Lepisosteus oculatus: one gene and its partners. The protein of the gene in region 2 purifies or fractionates together with the protein of the main gene of each other region. This does not show direct contact. Links are inferred from orthologs where the notes say so. Each region holds a gene or a part of one and is shown on either strand. Other genes may lie near its edges.

The links.
Region 1: the proteins of smarcd1 (region 2) and bcl7a purify together in Homo sapiens (affinity purification with mass spectrometry; 5 studies listed by BioGRID and IntAct, counting the BioPlex papers as one, with this or other methods). This does not show direct contact. The link is inferred for Lepisosteus oculatus from reciprocal best matches to the Homo sapiens genes SMARCD1 and BCL7A.
Region 3: the proteins of smarcd1 (region 2) and bicra purify together in Homo sapiens (affinity purification with mass spectrometry; 5 studies listed by BioGRID and IntAct, counting the BioPlex papers as one, with this or other methods). This does not show direct contact. The link is inferred for Lepisosteus oculatus from reciprocal best matches to the Homo sapiens genes SMARCD1 and BICRA.
Region 4: the proteins of smarcd1 (region 2) and bcl7ba purify together in Homo sapiens (affinity purification with mass spectrometry; 4 studies listed by BioGRID and IntAct, counting the BioPlex papers as one, with this or other methods). This does not show direct contact. The link is inferred for Lepisosteus oculatus from reciprocal best matches to the Homo sapiens genes SMARCD1 and BCL7B.

What each region holds. Positions count from the first base shown.
Region 1 is NC_090717.1:7,063,901-7,071,275, forward strand, and holds the start of bcl7a (B-cell CLL/lymphoma 7 protein family member A), read left to right. Parts: upstream 1-4,122; 5' UTR 4,123-4,360; coding exon 4,361-4,452; intron 4,453-7,375. Other genes in the region: cfap251 (cilia- and flagella-associated protein 251), read left to right, coding at 90-180, 767-910, 1,642-1,870, 2,617-2,718, 3,266-3,411.
Region 2 is NC_090696.1:17,243,930-17,251,861, forward strand, and holds the start of smarcd1 (SWI/SNF-related matrix-associated actin-dependent regulator of chromatin subfamily D member 1), read left to right. Parts: upstream 1-4,801; 5' UTR 4,802-4,835; coding exon 4,836-5,021; intron 5,022-7,932. UniProt on the Homo sapiens protein: Involved in transcriptional activation and repression of select genes by chromatin remodeling (alteration of DNA-nucleosome topology).
Region 3 is NC_090698.1:6,318,826-6,326,535, forward strand, and holds the start of bicra (BRD4-interacting chromatin-remodeling complex-associated protein), read left to right. Parts: upstream 1-4,575; 5' UTR 4,576-4,595; coding exon 4,596-4,656; intron 4,657-5,311; coding exon of another isoform or gene 5,312-5,548; exon of another isoform or gene 5,549-5,642; intron 5,643-7,710. Other genes in the region: znf541 (zinc finger protein 541), read right to left, coding at 5,312-5,548. UniProt on the Homo sapiens protein: Component of SWI/SNF chromatin remodeling subcomplex GBAF that carries out key enzymatic activities, changing chromatin structure by altering DNA-histone contacts within a nucleosome in an ATP-dependent manner.
Region 4 is NC_090721.1:463,273-471,349, reverse strand, and holds the start of bcl7ba (B-cell CLL/lymphoma 7 protein family member B-A), read left to right. Parts: upstream 1-4,932; 5' UTR 4,933-5,024; coding exon 5,025-5,116; intron 5,117-6,584; coding exon 6,585-6,660; intron 6,661-7,410; coding exon 7,411-7,522; intron 7,523-8,077. Other genes in the region: tbl2 (transducin beta-like protein 2), read left to right, coding at 890-1,016, 1,390-1,542, 2,369-2,825. UniProt on the Homo sapiens protein: Positive regulator of apoptosis. Plays a role in the Wnt signaling pathway, negatively regulating the expression of Wnt signaling components CTNNB1 and HMGA1.

The DNA of each region.
Region 1 (7,375 bases), on a different chromosome or scaffold from region 2:
TGTTCCTCAATTCCCTGTAGAGGCCATGCTGTCTATCGATCTCGTGTTTAGGCTTTGTGAGTGATTTTCCTTCTCTCGCATTGTGGTAGTGCTCTCGAGGCAGCAGCGTCTCTTGGAGGACAGGACCTCATTCCCTTTTACAGTGTTCTTGAAGGTGGGAGAGATGGGGAGCTTTTTAGGGTGAGGAGATTTATTAAACCCCACTTTCTAATATATTTAACAAATGAACTGCATGCCATATGGAATCTAACAAAAATAGTAGTTAAACTGTAACAAATTAACACTGAAGGTGCTAAAACCAAAATGGCTTCTTCTGAAATACAGCAGACGTTATCATCCATGTCTGAATGTATGAAAGGAGTCGATAATACACAAGCAAATCATTAGTTGTACCTTGTCTGTTTTGCTGTATTATCAATGCATGAAGAACTTCCTGTGCAGGCACATAGAACTTCAATGTGTACTACAGTGGTGCTGAATGCAGTATAGGCAGTATAATAAAATTCACAGTAATGCTTTGAAAAGTGTCATCTTTTTACACACAACAGGCTCAGTTAGACACCTTCTAGCAAATATCTGTTCTCATTTTCTTATGCGATCAAATCACTCATCTAATTCTTGTGCTATGAAGTGCATGAGTTGGCTTTTATTTTACCTAGACAGAAAGATGAAGCTGTTGTTTTAATTTTATAGACGCGCTTCATTTAAGTTCATTGTTAGACACAACATGGGAGCTACAGTACTGTTTTTTGTTTTGTCCATCTAGGAACTGGAAGACTATTTTTACTATTGCCAGCTGCGCAATCAAGGAATTGACACCATGGAGACCCGACAGGTGTCTACAAGAATCCCCCTGGCAGAGATCCCTTTTGTCATGCGGGCATTGGGATTCTACCCCTCTGAGCAGGAGGCAGGTTCAGATAAGTCCACTCACTGAAGGCTGAAATAATAACAAAGATCATCTTTGCAAATCATGAGCTACAGATGGTTCTGTGCTCTGAGTATCTTGAACATCGGAAACAATTCTCAGAGAAGGGTTTCAGTCTGGAGATTTGCAGAGATGCTGGCAGTCAGATCTGTATTAAAGGTTTCTTTCTTCCTGTTTTTCATTCTGTTTCTCTGTCTGCTTTCTGAGCTTTTTACATTCACTGAAGAAATGTAATGTAGCTTTAATTTGAATGATTCAGTCATTTATAGTTTCACCTGTCTAAAGAAATGCTTATTAGTTTTATACTTGCCTGACTTGATGCCATTTTGTGTTGCACTAAATCTCTCATTTTGCACCACGTCTGAGCTGAACAAAACACTCTTTATGCTCTTAACCTATTCTATCTATAGGCCATATGTGCTTAGTATCCCTTATTATATTTAATATTATTAATAATAAATTAGTCTTGATTACTATAAACTGATCACTATTGTCATAATAAAGGTTGCAAACAGGAGAAAGGCTTTTGGTCCATCTAACTTGTTTGATTGCTAATAACGTATCAATCCCAGATTCATGCCCAGCCTTTTCTTGAAAGGAGCCAGGATATCAGCTTGGCATAGACGTTTCTTCTAGACTCCTGTACACTTTTGTGTAAAGAAACACTGTCTGCTGTCTGTTCGAAATATACCTCTCTTCCCTTATTTTCACAGCTTGAAGATATGCTGAATGAGGTCAAATTCAGCCAGTATGTAGATACAGGAAAGTATGTGACCGACATTGATTTGGCAGATTTTATAAAACTGTATGTAAACCATCGCCCAGCATTTGGGATATCTATGAATGAACTGAGGCACGCTTTTCAAGTTCTGGGTTATGAAAATGAGAATGGGGAGAGAACACTGAACAGGGGAGAGCTACTGCAGCTGCTGCAGGCCAGAGGTATGTTAGACTGCTTCCAGTCCAAAGTAACAAAGCATCTTTTAAAGTTGCTGCTTTCATCTGACAGATCAATTGGAAAAATGTCACACATGCTCTGGGTATGATTATAGACAGCTTGTCCATTTGTTACCTTCAGTGTCTGAGGGGACATATTATTCCAATATTGACAGAGTGACATCAGGATTTGTTAGAATACAACAGATTGGACCTTAATTCTCAGACATTAGCAGACTGTTCCCACATGTTCTGTGCTGTATTTTCATCATTAGAGCAAACAACAGAAACAAAATCTGGGGAGCTGCAGGCGGGCCTGCACTTTATACAGGAGCTCACATGAAGAGCAGCACTTTTCCCTATTTCTTGTAATATACACACATGATATTAATGAATTAAAAATCCTTTAAATTAAAAAAGGCAGGCATTTTGTGGCTTTTTGTCATTTTTAATTTTGGATCTTTCATACTTTTTTCATACCCAGCCACTTGGTATCATCAGTCCTTAATCAGCTCAGCTGCACTTTCACAACCCTTGAGCTGTGACATTTATAGTATATAAAACTTAAAATATTAAAACATGCATTTGTTTTTAACTCTTATTTCTCTCAGTCTCCTGTATTATGCTTGATTTATGATGTCATAATAAGGATTAGGACGTCATTCGGATGGCTGAAGGTCCTTGAAATAATCAGAATGAGACGTTTACATGGGGATGTGAAACACGTTATGGAATGTTTTTTTTTTTCCTAGGTGAGCACATGACTGAAGAGGAGCTAGCCGAGTACTTCTCCACCTTGATGGGGCTAAATCCTGAAGGGGGGAGGTTGGAACTGGGAAGCTTTGATTCTACAGGTATGTACAGTACTAAATTACTTGGTCTTCTGCAGTGACTTGTCCCAGAGTGACAAGACTATAATGCAGTGCAAAAGATGTAGATCACAAAATGTTACTGAGTATGGCTTACCAGACTCTCTTAAGTAGTTAATGGTAATAATGGATGAAATAATAATGGTGAAAATCATATGACATTCTTCAGGCCAGATTTCCTCCCCTGGCCTTTACCAGTCATGGCCTCCTAATAATCTATGAAATGGCTTAATCACTCTGTTCTGCTCCTCCATGATAGCTGATGTGTGGTGAGTATATTGGTATTCTTTGGCTGCTGTTGCATCATCCAGGTGGGGCTGCACACTGGTGATGGTGGAGGGGATCCCCATTACCTGTAAAGCACTTTGAGTGGAGTGTCCAGAAAAGCCCTATATAAGTGTAGGGAATTATTAAGGATTTACTCTATTGATTATATGTATTCCTGTAACATTGAACAGTGATGGGCATATTGTTGAGTTCATGTGAAGAAACCACTTTTAACTTTTTTTATTTTATTGGGTTGAATTGACAGGTTCGGAGTCTCTGCTGGAAAGTGTGATTCCTGAAGAAATCACGATAGACACCTTGACATCTGACATACTGGGTTTTCCAGTTTTTGTCCAGGAAACTGCATCTTCTGAAGAGGGTCAGACAGACCGAGAGTCTGTGTTGTCCTAGGCTGTGATGCTTCCCACCACTCGTCGATGGAGCTGCCAACCTGTGTGTTATGAAGTTGCTTTCACCTTCAACACTTTGTCAGTAAAATTAGGATTTTTTTTTGCTCTCTTTAGTATTTGAACATTTTTACAGTTACAAAAGAAGAAGCTGGAGTGGCTTACCGCAGATTCTAAATCTTAACTTTTGTTTTAAATAAAATATTTTACCTAGATATTTATTGATGTGTTATTATTATTTATATTGATTTATATAATATGTATAGTTTAAAGGTTGAAATGACTGCACTAATTTTGAAACGATAAATGTCCGCAAAATAACTTTTAAAAAATATATATCTGACTATGTATTGGATTTTATTCTTCTGGGCAATTTCTTTGTATTAAGAATACTTTGGTTTGCTATGAAAATGCGTTTAAATATCACATAATGAAAAAACAATATGATGAAACACAATGAAAGCTGTTCCATGCCTCTCATCCAAACATAGAAACAAATAATTTCTAAAATATATAATATACGTCTTAAAAGACACTGAAACGTCTTGGACGAGTGCATTGTGCGGGAAAAAAAAGAAAACCCGTAAAACAATTTAACCGAAACAAAACCCGTTCGAGTCTTTTTTTTTTTAGACTGTTTTTCTTTCCCATCTGGAATGTTGCGTTGAAACAGGAAGTACGTCTGCAACTTTCAGCATCGTGTGTGTCAACTCGAGAAGTTTTCGCGAAACTTTCTTTGTGAACAATGTAACTTTGAAGCCTTTGTTGCTTCTGTCTACATTGTTGTAGCTCGGAGTTGTGTGACAAAGCTCCAGCCTGGCTTTGCCATGCAGCTGTAGGCTCTGTGCTCTCTTGGCGCAGGCGCGCTCCCTCCTCACAAAGCTCTACATTGAGTGTATGCATTGTGTCTGAACTGCCGGCGAGCTTTAAAAAATATTATACCAACAGCAGCAATGTCGGGCAGGTCGGTCCGCGCAGAGACCAGGAGCAGAGCGAAAGATGACATCAAGCGTGTTATGGCCGCTATTGAGAAAGTACGAAAATGGTAAGAGGAGAAAAAAAAAGCCACGGTTCATTATCTAAGAGCAGAAAGCCCAGCTTGTTGGGGGGGGGAGGAGGAGGAGAGAAGAGAGGGAGAAGAAAGAATGAAATGAACGAGAAGGGTCATCTTGAACTGAAATCGCTCGGATCGTGCTGTTGGCACAGGTGTGCTCAAGCGCTCCTGCGCTTCGTGCCAGCCGCCGGACCGATCGCAAAAGCGAAGGTTTGAGCAATTTTTAAATGGATTTTTCCATTAAGAATTAATGTGGGTTGAACCCAGAAGCCATTTCGTTGCAGTCACATGAAGCCTTTGCTGTCTTCTGCCTGCTGTAATGCCGGGTGAAGGGATCTTTGTGTGGCGCGGAGTGTTCCGGGACACTGGCGCGCACAAATCATAACAATAATCTCCAGTTTGTAACTATACTATGACGACGGCGCTCTAGAGTCAGAATAGTTTTTATTCGGTCTCGGGGTTTAAATTTAGCGCTTAGAGTCGCTCTTTAGAGCAAACAGATGTAGCGTGCAGTGGGGGCTGGGAGTAGGAAGTAGTGCATGGCTGATCACGCAAATATGTTAGACTTTTTAAAAATAAAAAAGCACATTGAAGCGAACGAACAACACATTACTTTTACAGTTGTGAAATATCGGTCTGTGTTTTGAAATCCGAAGATAAGGTACACTTTCATGCAATATTGTTTTAAGAAGGATTTACGTAACAAAACAGTCGTCGTTTTTCTACTAGGGCATCGTAGGTCGATTTAAGAAAATATATAAAAAACATCCTTGGAGGGCTAAAAATCTGTTGTAATGGAAATAAAAACGGAATCCCGGGAACTGTTTTTTACGGTTTAATGTATTTTAAGGATAAACTCACGATTTGGATATATTTCCCTCGACATTGCAGAAGATTGCTCGTTCTAAAGTCAACTTTTTCCCACATTTTTGGAATGATATTTCTGTAAAAATTTCTAACTCTTACAATACGATGACCGCCTCTTTGAATTTATGTGGGGTTATTTCAAATTGCGTATCGGGACGTAGGAAGTATAACGGTAAAGATGAGAATCCTATATAATTTGTAAATATATGTTAAGGGAAAAGGGACTCTCGCATCAACACAGCACCAAGGTTAATCCCGTCTAACTGCTGGTTAGATTAAAGGTTCCAAGTCTATGGAAATTGGGACCTAATTAGAGGCAAGCTAGTGACCAAGTAATTAAAATGGGGAAAACAGTACATGCACGGACACGCAGAAACGGGTTTAGCAGGGGAAATTAAGATCCAGTTTGATCGGATAAACTCTATATTTTTAGAGAAGGGGACGTTTCTCTTTACGCTAACTAGGCATTTACAGTGCTCCAAATTTTCTCTGCAAACTGCTGTGCTTCTCACCCTGCATTTTCGCGTGACAACGACCATGAGAGTAACAATAGGAGGCTTGCTTATCTCATCGATGCAACAATTACACATTAAAGCCGAAGATGCTTTTCACATCCAAGTGGACCAAATCCGGTCCGTCTCGAAGGTCAGAGGCGCACAAAGAGCGCTCTCGGGGATGACGCTCGTCTTTGGCCGTCTCCAATCCGCGAGTCTCTGGACTTTGTTGCCTGTCTGTCCCATGGGTTAAATTTTGTCATGGGTACCACGCAGCGCTATCTCGCACAGCTATAGCCAGGAACTCTTTTGTGTGAGATTCCGCAGTGCCAGAGCTGGATTTCTGCCCAGTGGTTCACAATCGAGCAGAATTAAGCATCTTCTGTGTCTAGACTGTTTGTTTGGCATGGCAGGCGCTGTCTCAGCTCTCCACGGGTTTAGAGGGGGTGGTGTCTGGTGGGTCAGGATGTCTTTGAGTCTCCTTTTGCACGAAGAGCCCTTAATGATGGTTGAACCCCCTGGTATTTTCATCTTTAATCATAAATCCGGCGACTGTAGGCCAAAACCACATTATGTGTTAGCATTTTTTATTGTTAAACGCAAGCACAGAAAATATGCTTTAAAGAATAGGTTACTTTATTTTCCCAGAGCAATTGAAGTGGATATCAGTGTAGGTTTAGAATAGCTTTATAACATTATGAGGTTTCTGTTCACATGAATGCAAAATTAAAATGGTTAACTTTTAAAAGTAGGTTTCCAGTAGTGGAGCAAACATTCAGAATTTGTCCTCTAAACAATAATTTAGCAGTCAACACATGATTTTCAGTTAGAAAACACTATTATATATTACTTGCATGCGAATCTTGGTACAGTTTTGTAGAACCGGGCTATGTGTTGTGTAATCAAGCTGAATAAGTAAAACCAGACATTTTGAATGTTAAAAGTAGTATTTGGGGTAAAGGTCATACCCGTTAAACAGAAAATGTGAAAGAAAATCTTGTTCCGGCAAGCTTTTGTATAATTGTACAATATTAGGTGAGGTTCTCACCCAAGAGCCTACAAAGGTTTGTAGACAAGAAGAGGCCAAGCTCAGCTGTCTGCTAGTAGCTACCTGATTCATGCATCTTGTCCAGCTTTTCCTTGAAAGATGCCAGTAAATCAGCATCAACAACCCATCTGGGCACACTGTTCCTGACACCCGCCCCTCTTTTTGCAAAGTATTGCTTTCTGTTCTTGGTCCTAAGGGCCCTGCCTTGTAAGAACATAAAGGGAAAAGAAGCCCAGTGTGCTTAAAAATGTCTCCACTTTTCGAGACAATCCATCCATCCACTTTCTTGTTGCTCGATCCAATTCAGGGTCACTGGGGAGCTGGAGCCTGTCCCAGCAAGCAGTAGGCGCAAGGCAGGGTACCACCTGGAGGGGACGACGGTCCATACAGGGCACACGGACACCAATACACTCACTCACACCCGGGCCAGTTTTCCCACAAGCCTCTTAACCTACCGGTTTCTTTGTACTGTGGGAGGAAACCAGAGCACCCAGAGGAATCCCAT
Region 2 (7,932 bases):
AGGTTGGCAGGGCGCCCCAAGGGAAATGGCCATCAGGCTGTGCCAGCTGCGGGAAAAAGGGAGGGATGACCTATCCCAGGGCGTTTCTCGAAAAGAGTAGGGGTGTAACCCCGGCGTCCTGGCCAAATTTCCCATTGGCCCTTACCAATCATGGCCTCCTAATAATCCCCATCTATGAATTGGCTACATTACTCTGCTCTCCTCCCCACTGATAGCTGGTGTGTGGTGAGCGTTCTGGCGCACTATGGCTGCCGTCGCATCATCCAGGTGGGGCTGCACACTGGTGGTGGTGGAGGGGAGTCCTCATTACCTGTAAAGCGCTTTGAGTGGAGTGTCCAGAAAACCGCTATATAAGTGTAAGCAATTATTATTATTATTATTATTACCTTTCAGTGCCCATCTCCAGGCTTCACTATAGAGGGACAAATCGTGTTACAGCTGTTTGCTGAAGCAGGGCACTGGTACCAACACGAGAAACCACCAGAGTGCTTCTGTCAGATCAACCCCACCCACACAAGAGCCTTCAGATCCATACGGCACTGTGCAGTTCGCCCATGGAGTGTTTTCCAAAGAGCAGCATTGTTTTACTGTAAATTGTCAGAGGCACCCGGCCTTATCGGCACAAAAACAGCAGAAAAGACTGCGTCTGGGAGTGCTGCTGACAACGCTGCGTGAGTTATGAGCGAGGCACTTCGAGAGCCGCCATCGAGTGTCACCCGTCAGTTTTAACACTGTTAGCGCCTCCCGGTGAAATGTCAGACGGAACAGGAGTGAACTGAGAAAGCGTTTTCTTTAATATTTTCTTACTGCTTTCAGTTACCTTCAAGACAGTCCCGCTGGGACAATGGTTTCACTTTTCCATCTGACATCCCTGTTTCTATGGGGGCGGGGGTGTAGGGGCACACAGCCAGACATGTGTGGTGATTTAATGTGATCTAGCCTGTATTCTGCAAGCCGAACCACTCTTCAGATCTTGCCCCAGCTGCGTGAGAGAGGAAAAGAGAGAGTAAGGAGGAGACAAATGGTGTTCTTTAGAGGACGTAGATTTTAGTCATGGGGGGGGGTAACTGTGGAAGGGCCCTCTTCCAAGATTGAACCACGAAATGCTCCCATCTTAAGAAGCTTGGCTAATGGGAAGGACAAGAGTTTCCAGCTTCAAATTAATTTGTGTCTCCTCGCCTGCCTTCCTTCCTGGTGACAGCATGTGAGCAGATATCAGCCCGCAAAGGCAGGGGAGATAAGGAGCGGGGGTGTTGGGGTGGGGAGGGACTTCAGACAGAGCCTCCTCCTCCTCCGTGATGAATCTCGGAGCAGGAAAATCTTGGTTGTAGAGAAAGTGATTAATTGCACCGTTTTCAAGCTGTTTCCTAGGAAGTACAACAGTAAAATGAGCCCTGTCATCCATCACAGAAATCCTGTTCTGTGTAAGTCTTTATTTGCTCCTGACATTTGTAGAGGCCCTATGTGATGTTCTATAGCACCCTATCCCAGGCATAGGAGAGTCACTGCATTTTCTTATAAAAAGAATCGGCAGCGTTCGCTTTCCTACATAGAAGACTTAATATTCCATCCACCCATTTTCTAACCACTTCTTCCCATCAAGGTACAGGGTTGGGGGATGGAGCCTATCCTAGCATACAAGAAGCACAAGCAGAACACACCCTGGAGGGGACACACTCACAAAGCCCAAACGCATGCAGACTCCTCACAGATAGCACCCCAGGTCCAGAATTCAGCTCAGAGCCCCAGAGAAGCAGCAACATTAACCACAGTGCCACTGTGCCACCCAATCAAAGTATTAAACCCCTTGAATATTATGTATTTCCTCTTAACTGGGATATTGGATTCAGTGTCCTTCTGCTACCCTGTGCAACACAGAGTCAAGGACCCCTTAAGTGAAATATATAAAATGTTCTTGCTTTGTTTTGTGCAACTGGGCCAGCAACTGCTGCAAATATCCTTCACTGTGGATTCACTGGGGACCATGTGTCTGTCTTTTCACAGCAAACCTTGACATCTGACATGGCAGGTCTCAGGCTCTGAAATCCACAGGGCCTGTTTGTGTATCCTTCAGAATTGTTTTCTCACAGGAATGATAGGATTGTGTCAGCAGAGCTGCAGGGACTTTTTCAAAAGCTGCTGTGTTCCAACAACATAAACCCAATTGGCCCTCATGTTTAAAAAAAGGATTTAGTCATCCATATCATCTGCAACATGTGCTGTTATAGGAGATTGTAATGAAGGATGGGACAACATTTCATCTCTCTATCTCTGAAGGGCTCCGACTTACTGCAGACTTCTAAAGACACCTATCATTTTAACAAAAACAGGGACCTTTTCTGGAAAAAAAAAACTTCAGTAATATAATACAGGACTTTAGCTTGTGCACCACAAACGCGAGCAAACACAATTCCATTAGCCTGTGGCCCAGCTACAAGTATTATTCAATTAGCTCGATGTGATTAGTGTATTAAATCGGAGATGAACTTTTCAGAAAGCTAGACAGGAGCACAGAGCAGCCAAGGAAGCACGCCAGAGATCAAGGAATCAATAAGCCGAAAGGGGAAGTTTGTTTGTGAGTGGGGGGGGGTTCTGATTGACATTGGCTGAGACAGACAGACTGACAGGCTGAATGCAAAGGAGATCGACATTCTGACATTCTGAGTGAAAAAGGCAGATGCCACGTCCTCGCAGCTGGGTAATTAACACTGTGCCTTAAAAAAAATCATACAAACGTAGTTTTAGATTTTCTTATGCAATTTAAAAACATTGCAGTATGCCCATTTGAGACCGTCACATAGAGGGGACATCCTGGTTGTGGGTGTATCCTAAACCCCCGATTCCAGAATGCATTTCCCATCTGGAGGAACGCGCAAATGCCGTTCGGCTGTGTGTGATGCAAATCGGACAGGGAGGAACAATGTCATCTTTTCCGTGAGCGGGGCTACTCATCTGCTCCCTGGCCCAGCTGGCAAGCTCACAGAGCAGACCGGTACTCTCCCGCAGATCGATCTGCGAACTTCGCTTCTCCGTTCCCCCACCTGTCACGATTGAGTTCTCCTAGCAGTGGGACCTTTGACCGGCGAGGCAGGAGAGGTGGGCCGGGTTGCTGAACAGATAGTGGTTAGCAGAGAGCATCTCCTCTCCTGACGGCTCCGACATTGCCCCTCTCCCGTCTGCACTTAAATTGGCTCTGACAAACGCGATGAGGTATGAGGTCACCCTTGTTAGGACTGACAGAAAGCACTTCTTCAGGATGAAGAGGAAAAGGGAGGCGTGGAGGACATGTCAGCTGTGATGCATTGTTTCAGGATAATTATCCTCCTAGGATGAGAGAATGTTCTTTTTTTCCCCGACATCTGCCGGTGAAGACGGCTCTCAACGTGTTAGAAGGATGCCCAATTCTGCTCTGCATGAGGCTAATGGGAGGCAAGCAACCAAGTGAAACTTCGCAGCCCCTGCAAATGGGCTGTCGGAGGAAGAGAAGCTCAGCACTCGTCGTCTGCTTGGCTCTGTAAAGCCGTTCTGTTACGTAGGACTGTGAAATCAAACAGTAAAGCTGTTCATCCGTGCACAGAAATACCATGGTTGCTGATCCAACTCTTCAAATACGTTTCGCTTTGTACAGATAGGAATATCAAGTCCACAATCTACTTTTTAACCAATCAGTCCCTAATGGTAATGTGAATATTAAATGTGATTTAATATATTATTAAAGTAACCTATAATGTACTGTACATTATATAGAGTGTAAATATTATTAAAGTAATATAGTTTAGGTTTTATTATAGTAAGCAGCCATGGATAGCTGTTTATACCATCAGTGTGGTATAGCTATATGTTGACTTGTGAAGTGGGCGTTTATATGCTGCTTACAAGGAACACATAATTCCCTTAAGACATGCTTTTTCTAAAACAAAACATGCATAACACAAAAGGTGTTCTTCCTAAGGTGTGTGTATAGTCTTGTCAGTTTCATAATTCATTCTGTTTCATAGCTGTATTTACCAATGAGAATCTGGTTACAGTGCAGAAGATTAGTTTGTGCCAAGTGACCTCATTCAGACTGAAGTTAATCCAGTGAATGTCACTTGATTGATGCACACAAGACCAAAATGCTAGCAAATAATAGTTATATCAAGATATTCACCATGGGAGGCTGGTGTTTAAATAATCGTGTCAGATCATAAATATTTGTATCAGTCCATCTATCTTCATTTACTGCTTTACATAAGAATATAAGGATTACAGACCTATTCTTCCACTGAGGAAAATGAAGAGCAGCGACATCTGCTGGTTACTATCTCGAGCACTTTTTATAGCCAGTAAAACTGAACCGGCGACGCAGAAATGTTTGAGAAGTTTGGGAAGTTAAGCGCATTGATTAGATTGAAGACGCAATTGTGATGGTTTACAGTAATATTCCAATGTGAAAATCGCAAGATGTATATTTTGATGTTTGTCTATATGGAAAACTATATTCGGCACGGGAATCTACGAGCCAGAAAGTTGCTTGCAAAAGCAAAATAATAAAACAATTAAAAACTACACTGAATTTACACGAGTTCTGATTTTGATTCTCGTACGATACATAAACATTGCGCACGTTCCATATTAGTCATTTCATTGAAACCATAATTATTCATATTAAAGACAAATTAGGAAATAAACGTTGCTTTCACGTCCTTCAGCAATATGGCTTCGATCAAGTTCAGCGTGTGCTCAGAGCCGTGTGAATAATTGCTGCTTCTTCAGTTTCTATGACAACCAGTGAGCAAAATCTCGTACAGCCCCTCTCGCGATATCCTCTTCACCACGGGCTCAGCGGGGAGAAGATGGCGGCTCGCGGTGGCTTCCAAGCGGCGGCAGCAGGAGGCGGCGGTGGAGGGCTGGGTCCAGGGCAGCCGGGACCGGGTGCTGGGCCGGGAATGGGACCGGGGACTCCCTCGGGCCGGATGGGTCCTTCCTCGGCAGCACAGAACCACCTTTACCGCTCCCCAATGCCAGGGCCCGGATACCCGGTAAGGAGGGGGAGGCGGTAACGTCAGGGGAACAAAGGGAGCCGGGAAAGACGGAGAAGCGAGGGAGGGGGTTGTGTGTGGATTAGGACCAGCGAACGTCTTTATATTTTATCAGGTGCTCAAACTGAACTACCCGGGTATACCGGTTAGAGAGAGGCGGTAGAATAGAAGTCGGCAAGGAGAAAACTTCGGATGAATATCTGTTTTTCTTAGTTCTGTGCTTGTGTGCTGTGTTGCTAAACCGCCGTTGAGAGAAACGGCTCATTTACCACCTTATGTGCCGTAGGAGGTGAGGGTGGGGATAAGGTTTGCTGATTTCCCGGTACAGCGTGCCCAGGTGATACACATGCATTGTCCAGCTGTACTGTAGGGATGTCCTCTGCATTGCAATATCCAGGAAAGTGACGCTGAAGATGCTGAACGCACTCCGTTTCTATCTTTCCAGGCTTCTTTCTGATAAAGCACAATTATGAGCTGTACAGCTGTGTGGCCGAAGTTGCGGGTGTATATATTTTTGCAGCTGTAGTTCATTCTCTCTCACCCTTTCCCTCTTGTTTCCCTTGTTGATGAGGGATGCGGTTCACAGTATTCCCCGGTCAGAGCAAGGCTTAGGCCCGGCATAATTAAGACGGGGTGGGTGGGGGGAAATGTGTGACTAATTATCGTGGAGGTGGTCGTATTTCTCACAGATGGTGGGGAAGCAGAACTGAAAAGGCTTTTCGGGGTCTTCTTGCTGGAGAAAACGAAGATACTGAACTTTCTAAGTTTGCAACTGGCGATCAGAATAAGCAATAGCCACGACGACTGATTTGCTGCAAATTAAATTTAGCGCCTCAGCCTCCCCTACAGTTGAAATAAGGTATCGAAGTAGGGCTGATGTGTGTTGAATTAATGTAGTTCTCGCTATTCATGAAGGGCTGAAGTTTTTAAAGTTAGGTGTGAATATTTGAAGGAATCCCACGTTTGCTAAATTATGATGTTAAAATACGAACAGCGTGTACTTTTAACCTCGGTAGCAATATAATATTTGAATCCCTTTATGATGATTTCCGTGGCACAGCAGCATCAGATGGTATGAGACCCATGTCAGAATTTACGAGCTGCAGTTTTCTTTCCAAAAGGCAAAGCCATATTTGGGTTTGTTCAAGCTGGGACAATTATTCTGAATGAGTTTGCCTTCACAGACGTGTGAAGATAAAAATCTTAAATACATGTAGGGTCTGACCAGCAGTCTGCTGCTTGAAATATCGTGCCAATACCCTGTGCTGTGCACACTGCCTTTGGTTTTCCTGAAGTTTTGTTTTTTGTCTTTGCATGTGCATTGCAAAAAGGCCACGTTGGCAAACCCCACACCTCCCTTAGAGGAGGCAGTCTTCTTCTAAAAGAGGGTTTGTCAATACTGACCATCTACGTTAGACCTGTTGAGTGACAGAAGAACAGAATTAAAGGGTGTCCTTTGGATCTTAGGTTAGCTCATCAGAAGGGTGACTGGGATCTTCATTCTGGATGACTAGGTGAAGATTGAATGTCACGTGTTGCCAGTGTGGGTGGGCCAGGTGTGGAGTAATGTGTTCGTGTTTGGTACCAGTTAGAATTCTCTCTGTGCTGATGTCATTGATGGGTTTGTTAGGGGGGGGCTCAGTAATGGCAGGAGGAGCAACACAGAAAATCACTGGAGTTCATAACAAAAGTTTAGGAGATGGGACGGTACCGGAACTGAATCAATTTAAGCTGCCTGTAATCACTCTTTATGTAATTTCCTCACCTAAAACATTATAAATGCTATACGTGATCCCCTTCTCTCCCTCACATGTCTCCTGCATCCCTCTGCATCTGCCCTTAGGTCACTCCTCACTCCACGGAGGGGTCTCGGCCTCCTTGTCCTGTGGTCAGGAGGGTAGCCCTCAGACAAGCCGGGCCAAGCCAGATTTACTGTGACTAAAACACTCAATAAACCTTTCAATATACTTAATTCTTGGGTGTTGTTGCTCCTAGTGAATTCTGCCAACTGTAATTGGTTGGACTCTGCGGCACTGAGCTCTCTGAGCTTGTGGCAGAAGGTGACTTTGCTCACCTGGGATCTCAGACGCTGCAGAATTCGCTGCCCGGAGAACATCCGGTTTTCTGGTGTCGTAGAGTTTGCCACCGTGCAAGCTCATCGCTTATGAGCTTCTGTCCCAGAATCGTGGTGGGGGAAGAGCAGGGCTGGACCTCTCACGCTGGTCAATAAACCCAGGGCTGTAAGGCTGTGTTCTGGGCTTTTTGGTAAAGAGACCTAGATGACAGCAGTCCTCTCTGGAAGCAGAAACTGCCCTTAGCAAAGCAATTCCTAACTTAGATCTTTATGGTGCACAAAAGGGGAACGAGAGATTGCTGCCAGTGAAGTGTTGGGTCTACGCAAAAACCTGTGGGGCTGCAGGATACACTCCATTTTTCTCTTGGTTCCACCTGCCATTATCTTCAGATCCGACATTTTGGCACATGCCCGCACCTCAAGGTGGTCTGGTCATTCTGATATACCTGGGAGAGAGCTGGAGTGCTTGGAAGAACAAAGATGTGCTTCTTTGATGGGACTAGTGCAGTTTAAGCAGAACTTTTTGTCGACGTGGGAATTATTCACCACAGAAGCGAATTCAGTTAAATCCCTTCGGCTCACTGCGTTGTTTCTTTGGTTCACGGTCAAATACTGTTAGCAATCATGTTGTTGCGTTTCAGGTCTTATAGCATCTTCTGCCTTTTGTAAGCGCGTAAATGGCGCCACTGAAAGGATGTTCTGTTCTCTCCTGTGGCCTTCAGCGGCAGCACAATATGTCTGCGTGAAAGCCGCTCCAAAGCCAGCACGCTTTACAGACACACCGATTGTTCAGGGAAGCCCAAGGTTAGTTCTGCTGCCTATGAAAGACGGGAGACG
Region 3 (7,710 bases), on a different chromosome or scaffold from region 2:
CAGTCCTGTTACAATAGGGGCTACAGTCCCAGTACAGTAGAACAGTCCTGTTACAGTAGGAGCTACAGTCCCAGTACAGTAGAACAGTCCTGTTACAATAGGGGCTACAGTCCCAGTACAGTAGAACAGTCCTGTTACAGTAGGAGCTACAGTCCCAGTACAGTAGAACAGTCCTGTTACAATAGGAGCTACAGTCCCAGTACAGTAGAACAGAACAGTCCTGTTATTAATCACTTCATTGGTTGGGCCTTGTTTATGAAGCCGCAGTGGAATAATCGGTACACGGCGCAGCTCCGCCAGGTCTGCTGCACTCTGTGATGGACTGAAGCGCTCACTGAATAAAAATAAATGAGTGAATATTACTCGCCGATACTCACAACGCCGCGTAGTTACTGGGGTCAATCGCAATCGCGTTTTCCTGCCCGTTTCCTTCGCTCCCCAGATCAGATTATTTCAGTGCCGGTCGCTACCGCGGGCCCAGAGACCGGGTGGCCGTTTTGAAGTTTTTAAAGAAAATGGCGACCGAATTATTCAAGAAAGTCGAGCGATCAAGCGGCTCGAGCGATCGCGCTTTAGGCGGGAGGGACCGGGGATCGACTTCAAGTACACAGCGCGAGCGTCCCCTTCCCGCCCGCCGACCGACCGACCGCTCGAGCGCTCCTCCTCCGGGGTGCTGCCTCGCGGCCAGACCACGCGCCCGGACCCGAGCGGTGACGCAGTGGCGCCAACCTCGAGGACGGCGAGAGGGCGCGCCGCCATCTTCGCCCCCGCGCGGCTGTTTGGAACTGAGAGTCGCGAGATCCGGAATCCCGCTCTCGGGTCGGGTAAGAACCACGTGGCCTTCCGCGACACGAGTGGCAGTATCTCCCACTCCGGAGGTGGGGGGGGGGGCGTGTGCTCATGGGCTCCACTCGCCTCTCACAGCGCTCAAGGTTCGTTTACCCAGACTTCCGGGAAAAGGGAACTCGCTCGGACGCAGATTTTAAAAACCCTGCTATGAGCGCTGTTCCGTCAACTGGCGCGCCTCCCACTTGCGTGGAAACAAAACTGAGAAGACCCTCTCTGAATGCCCAGGCAGGGCCTGTACGTGACGTGTGACGTGTCACCTCTGCGATAGAAGCCTGGCGAAAAGCAGCGAGTAAACCTGTTTGTGTTGTTGCTTTATACACGACTGTCTTTTTTCTCGGAGTACAATACGGTCAGATACACCCGTGGTGAGCAGGTGACTCCCTCCCGCCGCCCGGCCCCGGGTGCGAACCCAGCCTGCAGCCGTCCCTCCCCCGGTCACTGACGGAGGTCGCCTCCGGACCTCACTGAGCTGCTTCAGCGCCTTGACAGTCTCCCACCTCTGGGTGGGGAGAGAAACACACACTGGTTCGGTTTGGGGAGCTGCAGCAACGAGGTTTTGGGGTCCCCAGGACCGGGCCTGGCACCAATGACCCCTCGGGCTCATTGCTCGCTGGCGTGACCCCTGCCTGACTCCGGTGTTATCATCATGGCCAGCAGCTCCATCACCCTGCAGCTCAGCTGGCAGCCCCCTGGAGCTCAGCAGTGTGAGCATGGTCAGTACCTGGAGGGGAGACTCCTGGGAAAGCTGAGGCTGCTGCTTTAGGGAGGGGAGTCCCCATTACCTGTAAAGCGCTTTGAGTGGAGTGTCCAGAAAAGCACTATATAAGTGTAAGCAATTGTTATTATTATTATTATTAAGAGGTGTTAGTGGGACCAGTAGGGGACGCTCACCCTGCGGTCTGTGTGGATCCTAATGCCCCAGTATAGTAATGGGGACACTATACTGTAAAAAGGTGTCGTCCTTCAGATGAGGCGTAAAACCGAGGTCATGATTCTCTGTGGTCATTAAAAATCCCAGGGTATTTCTCGAAAAGAGTATGGATGTAACCCCGGGGTCCTGGCCAAATTTCCCCCTGGACTTTACCGGTCATGGCCTCCTAATAATCCCCATCTCTGAACTGGCTTCATCACTCTGCTCTCCTCCCACTGAGAGCTGGTGTGTGGGGAGAGTACTGGTGCACTATGGCTGCTGTCGCATCATCCAGGTGGGGGCTGCACACTGGTGGCAATGGTGGCATTCTCCATTACTGTAAAGCGCTCTGAGTGGAGTGTCCAGAACAGCGCCATACAGGTGTGAGGATACTGTTATTATTTTTGTCACGATAGTCACCTGCTGTCTGCACAGCAACACTCCCCATACCTCCGTGGCCTGGAGAGCAACAGAGGACTCTACTCTCCTGCTCCTGGGGTGGCCAGTGTACCTGCAGGATTCCAGTCCAGCTGTGCTCTTAAGCGCCCCAGTCATTTCCTTACTGGCTTAATCAGACCAGTTTGTTAATTTCTCCCTACTCTTCGGATGCTGCTGGTCTAGGGCGCACCGGACCCCTGTCCGTGAACCTAGGCTGCGCCTGTGTCAATACATCACGTCACCGAGACTCCGAAACAGACGCGGAAGCGATCTGTCGCCTTCTTGTGGGAACCTTTTGCAAAAACATCTTGGTGTGTGTGCGTGTTGGAAGAGGGGGCGGCTCGTTCAGAGAACAAAACAGAACAGCTGACTGGAAACACCACTGCACTCATTTTTTACGGTCGTCGCCTTGTGCAGTTTGTACACGGCCTTATGAGTATTTTTTTTTGCTGTTTTTTTTTTCTGCCATCGCCTATTGGGATCCGACACAACTTTTGGAGAAAGAGACGAGACCAGGGTTATGTCCTGGCGAAAACATGTCTCCCGGTCGCCATCGCTGTTCGGCGTCACATCACAATCAGCGAAATAAAAATCGATAATAAAGCGAATCGGAACCGTAGCTCCCCCGGTTATCGCGCTCCTGTCACTAACGCTCTCTGTCTCTCTCTGAAGTAGGACTGATTTTTTTTTCTCTGTATTTCTGTCCCAAAGTAAACCCGTCTGTAGCCCCACCTTAAAGCGTAAACACAAGCCTTAACTCTGATTCAAATCCAGCCAATCAGGAACTATAAACAACAGCCGGGGCCACGCCTTCTTATTAATGATTTCCCCTCTCTGCCAATCATTCCACGATCCGCCAATCAGCGAGCGGCTAGGCTCCATCCTGCGCCGACCCTTTCTTTGTGATGTTTTTAAGTTTGAGCCAATCAGCAGCGGCGTTTTCTCATTCCTTACAACCCGTTTGGTCATAGGAAGCGCCAGGGCCTCGGCTGGGGCTGTCCCTGTTTACGCCTGACTGAATCGTTTTATTATTTACTTCAGATCCTTCAAAGAAGTCAGTGCTACCCTTCCTCTTTCTTCTGGATGTCATGTTTATTTTATATGTAGTTCTGCAGCATTTCTTACATAAACTCATCTGTCAGAATTGAAGATTTGATGATTTACTAAAATCTTGATTTTTGGTAACCCAGAATTTAATAACTCAGTGTGTGTCTTTTCATATTTGAGATTTTGTGTGAGCATGTGTGTGATGGCACATCGGTGCCTGAGAAACAGAAAAGACAATCACCAGCTATCTGTAATTCCATCTCTCCAAGATAGACCTAAAACTCCCCCTAAACTCTACAGATGGAATAAAGGGAGCTCTAGGCCCTTGGAAAATTAGATTCTGTGTGACCAGGACTTACAAGAAGAAAGTACAATTTTAAAGAACGTGTCTTTCCTGTTATTCTTTTTTATTTAATGAGCCCTCTTTAAAATGTTATACTTGCCCTGCTAGTTAAGACCTCTCTCCCCGATTTGCACTGCCCGTTCGGTAGCTGTTTCCTGAAGGAAGTCGGGGTATCAGCTTGTTCCACACTCCCGCCCCCCTTTGGGTAAGGCTTGGGCATCACTAGCTGAATGACAGGGTTAGTGGATAAGGACTCGGGACTCCTAACTACAGGGAGAGGGAGGGGGACACTGTCTATGATTAAGACCTAGAACCAGGAGGTGAACTAGAACCGTGTAGTGAAGGGACTGTCCTGCTGGAAGCAGGCTGTGTTCCTTCAGCGTTTTTTATTGGTCTGAGTGTAAACGGCTGGTGCAGAAGTAGACCAGGGTAGAGTCCCCAGCTCCTCACCCTCACTCAGCTCCTAATGATGCTCATCGTGGGCTCCTCCGGACATGTTCACAATAGACAGTGCTGCACACCGAATCAGGCATTGTTCAGTGTTACTGTGCAGCTACAGATGATCAGTCTTTACAGTATCTACAGGTCTGAGGATGATGAGTGTCAATGTGAGGTTACAGATGACCAGACTGAGAGTCTTTACAGTATCTTCAGGTCTGAGGATGATGAGTGTTAATGTGAAATTAGTTATAAAGGGAACAGACATTTGGAAGCTTTTTTTCCTTGACTAGGCTAACCTTTGTGGTTATGCAATACACACTGCCAGAATGAAGTAATTCACATCTCCCATGAAACAAATAATGTCTGATGTGAATCACCTGTTTCACGATTCAGTCAAAATAAGATCGAAAGCAATCAGTCAAAAGGAAATCAAAACAGTTACTACTGAAATGACCTGTGTGCTGTAATCTGCTCGCCACAGACTGGCAGGAGTGCGTCTGATTTTTGGTCAGGCGATCGCGCCGGGCCGCCCTGCCCTGCTCCGTTTGTTGCTCTGCCGGGTCCTGTATGGGAGCCCGTGCGGGGCTGTGCCGGAGACCCCGCGCTGCCTGCACCTCTATCGTCTCGGGTGAGTTTGTTACAATGTAGCAATTTCTCTATAAATCTGTATAACTCGAATAAAGCCGCAACATCTGCACACTGCAGGTGGATCGCAAACCCCGCTTTTACTGCCCGCAAAATGCCAAAAAAAACACGCACGGCTGGGCCGGAGGAGCGATTTTACAGCGAAATTCCCAAACATACCCCCCCCTCCCGGTCCAAGTGTATTCCAACATTAACTCAATATTTAGACGCAATTGCGTTTGAGGAATCACTAGATAGAAAGAAAATAACCAAATCATGTCTGCCTGGCACATAATATGTTTCAGGGATTCATCTGAGCAGTGCGTAGCTGCTTGCAATATGTTACTGTCAGATATCTTGTGTGTAAGGCTCGCTTTTCTACACATTTAGACTTCCAGCTCCAGACCTCAGCTCTGCCTGTCTCTCTGTACCTGCACGCAATAGATTCGCATTCGCTCGGCTGCAACGGCACGAGAAAAGGGGGTTGTGTTGAGAAGGAGGGGGAGGTGGGTGGGTGGAAAGAAGACTTTTTTTTTGTGTGTGTGCGAGGTGAACAGCCGCCAGTATCCGTCCGTCCACGGAGGCGAGAAAGAGCCGCCGCTTCGCCTTCGTCTTCCTCCCCGTCTCCCCCGCGCGAAAACAAACCCAAACAAACTTACTCGGGGCCGGCCAGGCGGCGGGAGGAGGAAGTTGGGCTCTCTGGGACGGGCCGTGCGCGTCCGCGGGTCTGTGCCGGAGCCCGGCCGCTGTGCCCCGGGCTCCCTGCGCCCTCCTCCCTCGGGGGGGGTGGTGGTGGTGGGGGCCAGCGAGCTGGCGAAAGCCAGGGCCCCGTCCGCTTCCTCTCTGTCCGAGCGGGGTTGTCCTGGGCTGGTGTGCTGGTGTCCAGCGGCTGTCATGGGGCTGAGCGCTGAGTGTTTTCAGTGAGGGAGGGAGGGCAGTGTGGCTGAGGGCTTCTCTGCTGTCTCCGTCCTCGCCGCTCGGACGTGAAGTTGGTCCTCCCTGCCCGCGGAGTGGATTTAATGGGTTAATGGCTTAATTGGTTTAACTCCATTGGAGCTGTGATTGTGATGAGCTGCCAGTTCGACTGACCTGAGCTCTGCTGTTCTCGGGAAGTTTTGCTAGGTGGCATGTCGACCTGGGAGCCCAGATTCTGGGCTTTGGGGGTGGACTCTAGGACTGTATGGACCGGGGGGGCCGGAGTCTGGGCCGTACAGACTGGGGGGCCGCACTCTGGGGTGTATGGACAGGGACTTTGTATGGTGTCCTCTCCTGGTGTGGGAAGTCTGCAGGATGTCCAGCATATTTCTAGGTGTCCCCCAAGGGCGGTACATACTGTGGGACCACCTGTGTCCTGCGCGTTCGGATCAGGGCCTGGGAGAGCTGGATGGTGGCTCTCCAGGGCTGTGTGTGAAACACTCACGCTTCATGGAGACCAATTACTAACGACTAGTTACTGGGCTAACTGCTGGGGTTGCAGACAGATGCACCACAAGCACTTATTATATCTGCCAGTCGTAAACGAGAGGTGGCCACTGGGTCCAACCAGTTTGTTCGGATCTCATCCAGCTGTTTCTTGAGAGCAGCCAGGGCATCGGCATCATGGCTGGGCAGCTCGCTCCATGCTCCCACCACTCTTTGAGTAAGGAGGGATCTCTTGTTTTCGCTCATAAATGCACTTCTCTGTCATTTCCTGATTGGTCTGCTCGCTTTGCTGTTGGTCCTGAGGTCCCCTTCTTGCTAGGGTATCAGCAACTTTTCAGGATAGTTCCCATCATCCTCCTTCTCTGTGACGGTTAACGGGATGGAGCTCCTTTATTCTCTTTGTGACTTTCCTGTGAGGCTGGGAATTAACGTTGTTTCCCTCCTCTGGACGGAGGTCCGGAGCAAACGTTGCTCTCTCTAACATGGCGACCAAAACCTCAGTCCTGCCCAACACGCTTGAGAAAGTGACCCTACTTCCCTGGACCTGACTCCTGTGCCTCGTGTGCTCAAGTTGCCGGCCTTGTTGAAGAGCTGCAGGAGGACACCAGAGTTGTCACAGACAACACGTCTTCGAGCTCCCCCCCCCCCTGCTGGTATGTCTGACGTACCTTCTTACAAGCTGCAGGTGTGCTAAATAGTGCTCATTTGTCTGAGCTCTCTTCTAAAGTAGCGAAACGCTTGCTCATCCCAGAGCCAGCAGCTGCGCAGAGCTCACATCAATGAGCTCGTTGGGAGGCGGGGGGCTGGCCTCTGCGGGGGCTCTGTGGGGGGTCCTGCCCCTCCGGCGGAGGCGGAGGAGTGGGGCATCGCTCTCCCACTAGGGCAGTTTCGCCAGCAGCGCGTGAAGACCTCGGCAGGTGGGCAGGTGTTTGGGAGGCGAGGGGGTGCCAGTATGGATGCCCATTGTTCTGGCGTGCTTGCTTGGGTTGGGTTGGTTTCTCAGATGCCGTTGCGCGAGGGTGGGTGTTCAGGTCTGTTGAGGAGGGAAGGGATTATCTTCCCTAGGAGGCACAGATGTGTCTTCCAGATGTGGGATCCGCTGTGTTGCTGCTTGATCACATCCTGGACTTCCTGCTGGCAGGGAGCAACAGTGGGAAGCCCGGTTATGGGAAGAGCCCCATTCCCCGTCTCCGTCTCCCTCCAGGTGAATCAGTTTTGTAAGCTCCGTCCGGAAAGGTCCAGGATAGATCCAGCTGGGAAGCTCTTCTCTAGTGTTCAGGTGGTCATCCGGCTGCGGGCCTCGCCGATCCCTCTCCCAAGGATGGATCTCCATTCGGAATAATTGTTTTTCGAGCTCTTCCGGCAGGGATTGTGGTGGGCAGTGTCTCGGGGCGAGTGAGAAGCGGAGCAGCCTTTCACAAGCACCTTCGTACTGGGAGCGCAGGTGTGGCTGCAGCTGGATTCTGTGTCCCTGAGAAAGTCTTAATAATAGTAATAATTAATAATTGCTTACACTTATATAGCGCTTTTCTGGACACTCCGCTCAAAGCACTTTACAGGTAATGGGGATCCCCCCCACCCCCACCAGTGTGTACCCCCACCTGGATGATGCGACAGCAGCCAGAGTGCGCCAGTC
Region 4 (8,077 bases), on a different chromosome or scaffold from region 2:
GCTCTCCTGTGCACAGCTCTGCCCCGGATCCATACGGCAGACTTGTCCCTCTCTGTCCCTCTCTGTCCCTCAGCTTTCTCACAGTGGCCCAGAGGACCGGGTGTCCTAATGGGATTCAGAGCGATTGATGAATCATTGTCCTTGATTGTCTGTTCTTAGTTACAGCCTCTTTGTTGGTCTATGAGCATGAAACCAAACCTGAATAAGATAAATATTTTTATTTTTTAGTTAATATTTTGGCTTGGTTGTGTAAATAATTACAATGTGAGTGGGTGACATTGACAGGGGAAACTTTTTCATTAGTGTTCTGTTTTAAAGAAAAGAAAATACTGTAATACAAATTGAGAGTCCAAACTGGGTGAAATATCCAGGAGTAAAACTCATCATGGCTGTGATTTCTGCTTTATCCACTCGGCTGACGAGAGTGAGGGCAGGGACTGTGAAGTTGCTGAGCTGGTTTTGTTTGCCTCAACAGTTTGTTTACACTTTATTTTCACTTCTCTTAAACACTTTTGACCCTTAAGGTCTGGAAAGAGAGATGCAATTAAAAAGTAGAAATCATGGAAGAGCAGAACTCAGAGTGGGTGTTGTATTGAGTATTTTTCTTACTTTACAAAATGCTATTTAATGGTTATGGTGTGTGGAGCATCTGTATTAGAGCTTTTACTGAGAACCCAGTGACATCAGTCACACATAAAACAGTGGTGCTGTTGGCAACCCCTTGTTAAAATAACCTCTGTGAGCGGTCTGCTTCTCCAGAACACAGCCCTGACATTGTGAGAGAATTTAACACTGACGTTTGACATGAACCAGGCACGTGCTGTCTGCAGGACTGCCCCCATGAGGGCCTGACATCCCTTCTGTCCCATCGTGTGTTTTCCTGCTCCAGGCAAGTTCATCATGACAGCCTCCAGTGACACCACCATCCTGATCTGGGACCTGAAGGGGGAGGTCCTGGCCACTATCAACACCAACCAGATGACCAACTCTTATGCCACCATCTCTCCCTGTGGCAGGTCAGTACCCCGCTGCCCCACCCCCAGCACCCCAACACACCCACCCCGAGTAACCCCAGCTGTGCCTCTTTCTGTAAACAGCTCCGTCAGTCTCGCGTGACCATTGAAGTTCTGAGTCCAGAACTAAAGGTTTCAAAGTGGTAAGGACACTCGTTGGTTTGTCTGAGGAAGGCTGTAATGAGGAGAAGACTCTGGGTGGCAGATGGGCTGAGACAGGTCTCCGTGGCCGTCTCAGAGCTCCTGCTGACACCTGGTAGAACCGGGCCCGTGCGGTTCAGCCCACACGGTACCGCCCCGGTGCTGCTGTGCTGCGGGGACCTCGTGTTGGCCCAGCGAGTGTGAACCTGTGCTCTCGCTCACGGTTGTGCGGCAGGTTCGTGGCGTCCTGCGGCTTCACCCCGGACGTGAAGGTGTGGGAGGTGTGCTTCGGAAAGATGGGCGACTTCAGGGAAGTGGTCCGAGCCTTCGACCTGAAGGGCCACTCGGCTGGAGTCTATTCCTTCGCCTTCTCCAACGACTCGCGCAGGTAGGGAGTCGGAGAGCAGCTGAGAGCACTTCTGTCAGGGACTGAAATGTTTTCCTGCATGACTGGCCTGACTCTAAAGGTCTTGAGCTGGAGCCCCCAGGTGGTGCAGGCTGGGCTCCCTGATTCTCTCGTGGGGAGTCTGAGCTGCGTCACCCCATCAGCGGGTTGTGACTGGGGGATCCCCCAGTGGGGCACACAGCTGGCAGAGCTGCCCGGGGGCAAGATGAGAACACCGATTCCTGCTGCTCCTGTATTACTGAGCGAGTAGGAACTTAAAAAGACAGTAAAAAGCTCTCGATCTTAAGTGGATGGTATGTTGTACAATTTGTTGTAATTTGATGTTTAAATATTCTTCAGTGATGTATAAGAGGTGGGTATTGTGTGAGGTTCAGGTATCCTGTCCTGCCCCTCAGAGGGCCTTTGGGAGAAGCGCAGTATATCTCCTAGCTTATTAATACTCCTTAGTCATGGTGAGCCACGGCCTTACGGCTTTTCTTTTTTTCTAAAGGTCCTTTATATCCCCAAACATATTACTTATTACCCCATGTGAGAATGTTGAATTCACCACCACCAATAACCTGATAAGACTATTTACAAATAATGGCGGCCTCTAGTGGAGGCCAGCTGCTATGACAGCCCCTTGCAAGACTTGGCTGCCAAGGAGAGGACGTCACTTGTCATCTCCTGATTGGGCGTCTGCCTAAAGAGCACTTCCCTCGGGCACCGGGTCTGCTCTGGGTTTAACCAGGCACAGCAGGGACTGTTAGTGCCTTGCGGTGGTTCGTCTGGACTCGACTGGAGCTTCTGTTGTTGGCCCCACCTGCAGGATGGCCACGGTGTCCAAAGACGGGACGTGGAAGCTGTGGGACACGGACGTGGAGTACAAGAAGCAGCAGGACCCCTACCTTCTGCGGACCGGCCAGTGCCAGGTGGCCGAGCCCTGCCGGATCGCCCTGTCCCCCGACGCCCGCGTGGCCGCCATCTCCAGCGGCTGCAACGTGGCGCTGTACAGCGCGGCCGCGGGCGAGCTGGAGGAGGAGCTGCAGGGCGTGCACAGCGAGGAGATCGCAGACATGCGCTTCGACATCAACAGCCGCTTCCTGCTCACCTGCGGCGACCGGGCCATCCGCGTCTTCCACAACGCGCCGGGCCACCAGGCCGCCGTGCGCGAGATGCAGGCCATGCTGAAGAACGCCTCCAACGAGGCCATGCGCCAGAGACTGCAGCTGCAGATCCAGGAGGCCCAGGCCGCGCTGGACAGTGTGTGCACCCCCAAGGACTGAGGGGTCCGAGGGGTCCGGCCCCAGCCTGGCTGTCCCCCCTCCCCCCCCCTCAAGAAAGGAACTGCAGTGTCTTTGCCTTGCGTTTGGGCTTGGGGTTGTGTGCATCCTGGTTTTAAAAAAAAAGGTTTGTAATAAAATGTGCATGGAGCTCAGTGCTGCTGCTCCAACAGACCTGCTGGCTGGTAATGGTCACTGCTCCTCCTCATGAGCCCTGCAGGACGCAGGTGGTGGGGTCTGACCCCTGTGTCCCGACCCACAGCCTCCGCTCCGGCGCCTTGAGCTTGTAGCGGGCGGCCTGACGGCAGGCGTGTTCGATGATGCCTGTAGGTTTTTTTGCACCGCAGTTCAACTCGCAGGGAGCCACCAGTCAGAAGAAGAATTTCAAGTCTGTTGTAAAAAGCAGTGATGTCTGCTGCTAGATTTAACATTGTTTATAAGTGACTGCTTCTCCACATCAACATGGAAATTATTTAAAAATCAAAGGCACGTCTGGGGTCAGTAGTTGTTTGCTGAACCAGTCAGTTTCTGGGCCCAAGGGAGCATTGTGCGCCCCCTAGTGCCAGAGTATATTGATTGAAATCATGGATTTGGGCTCTTTGGTGTCAAGCGATTAGCGATCATAGGTCTAGGTCTAGATTAGGTCTAGAATGATATGAAGACTGATTTTACACATTAAAGAGCTATTGCCCTTTGTAAAGTTGGCTCATGACAATGAGTCTGTTTACAAGTGCTTGTAAAGGCACCATATTGATCTTACTTCTTTGACATTTCTGAGGCTGTAGCAACGGCCACAGTGGTTTCGGGAGGGAAAAGCTGTTCAGATACAGACAGGGATACGAGCTCATATCTCACAACGTGAAATGAACACGGAAAAGATGTGATCAGTGTCTCACTAAACAGAAATAAAGATAAAAAATAAATAACACATGGAAAAGGCATGCAGTGATTAAAAGCCTGACTGAACAGGTAACTATTTAGATTTCAAAACTGTAAAATAGTTCGCAGCTCTCCTGTTGATGGGGAGTGAGGCCCAGAGCTGTGGAGCAGGGCGGCTGAGACACTTGTACCTGGAAGAAGGGCCTGAAGATGCTTCTCGGAGTAAAGGCCTGCGTGTGCCAAGGGAGTAGGGAGAGGTGCGCTGTGCTGGGGGGATGGGGGGTGTTGGGGTGCTGGTAATGGGGAGCCAGTGAGGACGTGTCAGAATTGGGGCGGTGTGATCACGTAGGCTCCAACAGGCTAGAGAGCGAGCGGCCGAGCTTGTTTAGGAGCTGGTGGGGAGACTCTGGAAAGACTGTTGACATTCATCTGTCCAGCTGAGCTGTGAAGAAGTCTCTGATCAGGGTTTCTGCAGCTGCGTGATCAAGGAAGACCGAGTGCAGACACTGTTTCTGAGCAGAAAGTACAAGACTTCACAGGTGCCTTTAAATGAGCATCCAAAACATTTCATTAGAATTTCATAAAATACCATGTATCTTCCCTGGAATTTATGCACACACATCTCCTCAGTTTTAGTCAAATTTAAATGGGGGGAACTGGGCCCTCTTCGTGTGGGGGGAGAGGCGATGAGGCCAGGCCAGCTGGGTCTCCAGAGCACGCGAGCCAATCCTTCACCCTTTTCTGCCTGCATTATTTTCACAGCAGGGTCACAGGGGAGTCAAGAGTCTGTCCCAGCAAGCAACGGGCCCAAGGCAGGGTCCACCCTGGACAGGACACACACACACCAGGGGCAGTATTCCCAGAAGCCAATTAACCTACCTGTTTGTATTTAGATATTGGAGGGAAACTGGAGCACCCAGAGGAAACCCACACAAACCCAGGGAGAACGTGCAAACACAACACAGACAGCACCCCAGGGCCCCAGCAGTGCGAGGCAGCAATTCTAACAACTGTGCCACCATACTCCTGTCCTTCCACATGCACTATGATGACAACAACAATAACACTAACACTGATAGTAAGGAACGAGTGAAGGTTTATTCCGTGCTCAGAAGAGAGAAACACAGCGCTGCTCCTCGCGCGCACGCGTCAGGCGGACCACGTGGGGAGCCGGGCGGGTGCGGAGTGGCGCGCGCGCGCGCGTGCGGGGGGGCGGGGAGGGGGGGAGAGAAGTCTCGCGAGGTTAAAAAACCGGACGGCGAGACCCATTCGGTCGGATTGGCGACAAGAGGAAAAATATAAAAACCTGAGCCCCGAAATAAGATGTCAGGCCGCTCGGTTCGGGCCGAGACCCGGAGCCGCGCCAAGGATGACATTAAGAAGGTGATGGCGGCCATAGAGAGGGTCCGGCGATGGTGAGTGTGAGGGAAGAGCGCAGGAAGAAAAGATCGAGCAAACAATCCTGTAAGAGAAACTTCGGGGACGAGGAGCAGGCGGGGCGGCGGCGGTGACTGGCGGGAGAGTGACGGGGCTGCTGGCCTATCGCTGGCCGGGAGAGCCGGTCTCCTTGGAGACGGGGGCGGGGCGGTGGCGGAGGTGGGATGAGTAGCCGAGAGCTGATTGGCAGGCGCGGACGGGTGGGCGGGCGCCGCTGCGGTGACTGACAGCGGCGTGTGCCGAAATTACCGAAGGGTATCGGCAATTCAGCCGAAACGAGGAAATAATGTATTTTCCCCTATCCTAGCTCGAACAGGTCTGCGACAGGCCGCGCCGCCGGGAGCCGTGCCTTCAGTCGAGTGCACAGGGAGAAGGAGGGGGAATGTGTGCGGAGTTGGCTGTTAGTTAATACCCCAGGGAACCAGAAGTTTGAGGGTGAATTCTTTCAGACGTTAAAGCTGGGGATGGAACAGGGGTTTGCCTGAAAATAATGCCGAGTTTGCGAAAGGGGCAAGAACGGCGCCAACTGCAGGGCGCAGGAAACTGGTGCTGTTCTGTTACAGACCGAGTAACGAAATAAATGAACTGAAAGTTCGTCAGATATTTCCTCCTCCCCCACACGCAGTGATTGATTCCTTGAAAGATATGAGTGTGGTCAGTCTGGGCGGTGTGGTGTATATCCCACAATGCGGTGCTCCGGAGGCATGAGCAGGGGTACCGTGTGACACGGACACGGGTGGATTCGTGCAGCCTGAGGAGCGACTTCCGCTTCCCCCGTGCGTGGAGCTGGCACGGGGCGCGAGGCTTGAGCTCCCTTCCTCGGGCTGCGTGTCCGGTCCTGCGGGGGGTTCACTGTGCGCTGCAGGCCAGCAGTCAGGACCCCGATGTCCACAGAGACTGCAAACAAAGCCGCAGCTCACGGTAGCACCGCAGGAGAGCGTGGACACCGTGACACCCCACTGCAGTTTCTGGGCTCCCCCCTCTAGAGGTCTCGGCGGGGCCATGCCCAGGGGTTATTAAAGGTGATCGGACAGAAGTCCGGCTCTCCAGTCTCTCGTGTGAACTTGCTGCTCCTGCGGCTATGACGCCAGGGTTTTTTTTAAAAAGATGAAGCTGGCCGTCTAGGAAAACTGCGGAGACCTGCTGTATTTGTGTTTTAAGTAGAATCAAAAACGAACCTTGAGAAGTATCCCTTGGAAGAGCTGAGGTGCTGGTGTGGGTTTGAGGAGTCTTGAGTGCTGCCTGCTCCTCCTGTCACAGTGTCTTTCCCCCTGATGCGGGGAGCGCTGGCTCTGTTGCAGAGGAGGGATTCGAGTTCCTCTTCCAGCCTCCTTACTGAAAGGAGAGGTGGTGTCTCCACGGGTGAGAAAACCGCCCGGCAGCGATATGGTGCTCCTTTGGGGGCTGTCCAGTTCGCGGCTGGTAACAGCTCTGTCGCCCCTACAGGGAGAAGAAGTGGGTGACTGTAGGCGACACCTCTCTGAGGATATTTAAGTGGGTGCCTGTCGTGGATACCAAGGAGGTAGGGCTCTTCCTGCTACAGTGTTTATCTCTTTCTATTTTTATGCTTTAAAAATGTCTTCAGGTGAAATTTGCACAGAATAATGTCCATGGAAGGTTATGAATGGAGTTTGCTGCTGACGCCAGCCTGTCCCTGTTTGTGATAAACTAGACAACTCGAGTACAAGATGCCACAGGGCTGCTGCTGTGGAACAGGAGGAATGTGGAAGAGAGTAAAATAGAGGTGTTTTAGGAGCTCTGTTACTTAGAACATTAAGGTCAAGAGCAAAGGGTGTCCTTGTTTGATTGCTAGCAGATAGTCAATCTGAAGATCTTGTCCAGTCTCGTCTCACTGTGAAGACTGTGCTTCTACAAAGGCTGGGGCAGCTTGTTCCCTACACCCACAACCCTTTTTTGTAAAGAAAAGCCTCCTGCATGTTGCCTCCTGCTGCCAGTTTTATATGCCCTTCCACATAGTCTCTGCTTGTGCCTTCTGTTTTAATTTCACTGTTCGTTTTGAGCAGTAGCTTTAAAATGAAAAAAAATAAAAGCTAAAACATTTCACAATACCGTCTTCTCTCTGGAAATGTCTGTCTCCCTCGTGGTCTTGTTGTATTGGATTGTACTGTTAGCACATTGCCCCCAGCCCACCCTAGTGCTCAGGCCTTATCTAGAGATCCTGCTCCACTTCAAGCACGGCCACTGCTCTCTGTGAGCGTCTGCGGCAGGTCGCTGTACTTCAATGCAAAATAATCTTCTTCCTCTCTTGTAGAAAGAAAAGTGCAAAACCAATGGCAGCGCAGGGAGGGAGCTGAAGGGCTACCCTGTGGACACCGGGGATACGGCTTCAGAGAACAACCGCTCTGTCCTGCTGGACTTCCAGGGTGCGACACTGCCCTTCGCACATGCGCAGCGACTGCCTGTACAGCTCCTCAGCTGCACAGATCTAGGAGCTCAGAGGTTCCTCTGTGTTTACTGGCCCAGGGGCCTCTCGTCTGTAGGACTGTACCTCTCCTTGTTCATCCCAAAGACATGTGGTGTCGAAGTTCACTGCGCTAGATCGGGATCTCTAATTCCTGATCCATAGTTCACGCCCTCACCAGTTATCAAACGTGTGCTGTTCAAGTGCCCTGCAGTCATTTTCAAAATGCTGACTTCCAAATTCTTGTTTGCCTCATCTGTGGGTGTACCTAAAATCACAAGATCTAAAAAAGCCTGCACTTCCGCAGAAATAGATTGTTGCTTTTAAGATCGTAATTATGTTCTGTGTTTTGTTTGGATAATTATGTAGTTGGAGTCCACATGCCACAGCCTGAGCTTTGTTTTCTCGAGTGCACATTTTATGAGCTGCGGGTCTTGTTGAGCTGATAGAGTACACCATAGTCGAGAGGTTAACCCTCTGCCACGCCCAATATAGTAGAAATCTGGGTGACGAAGAC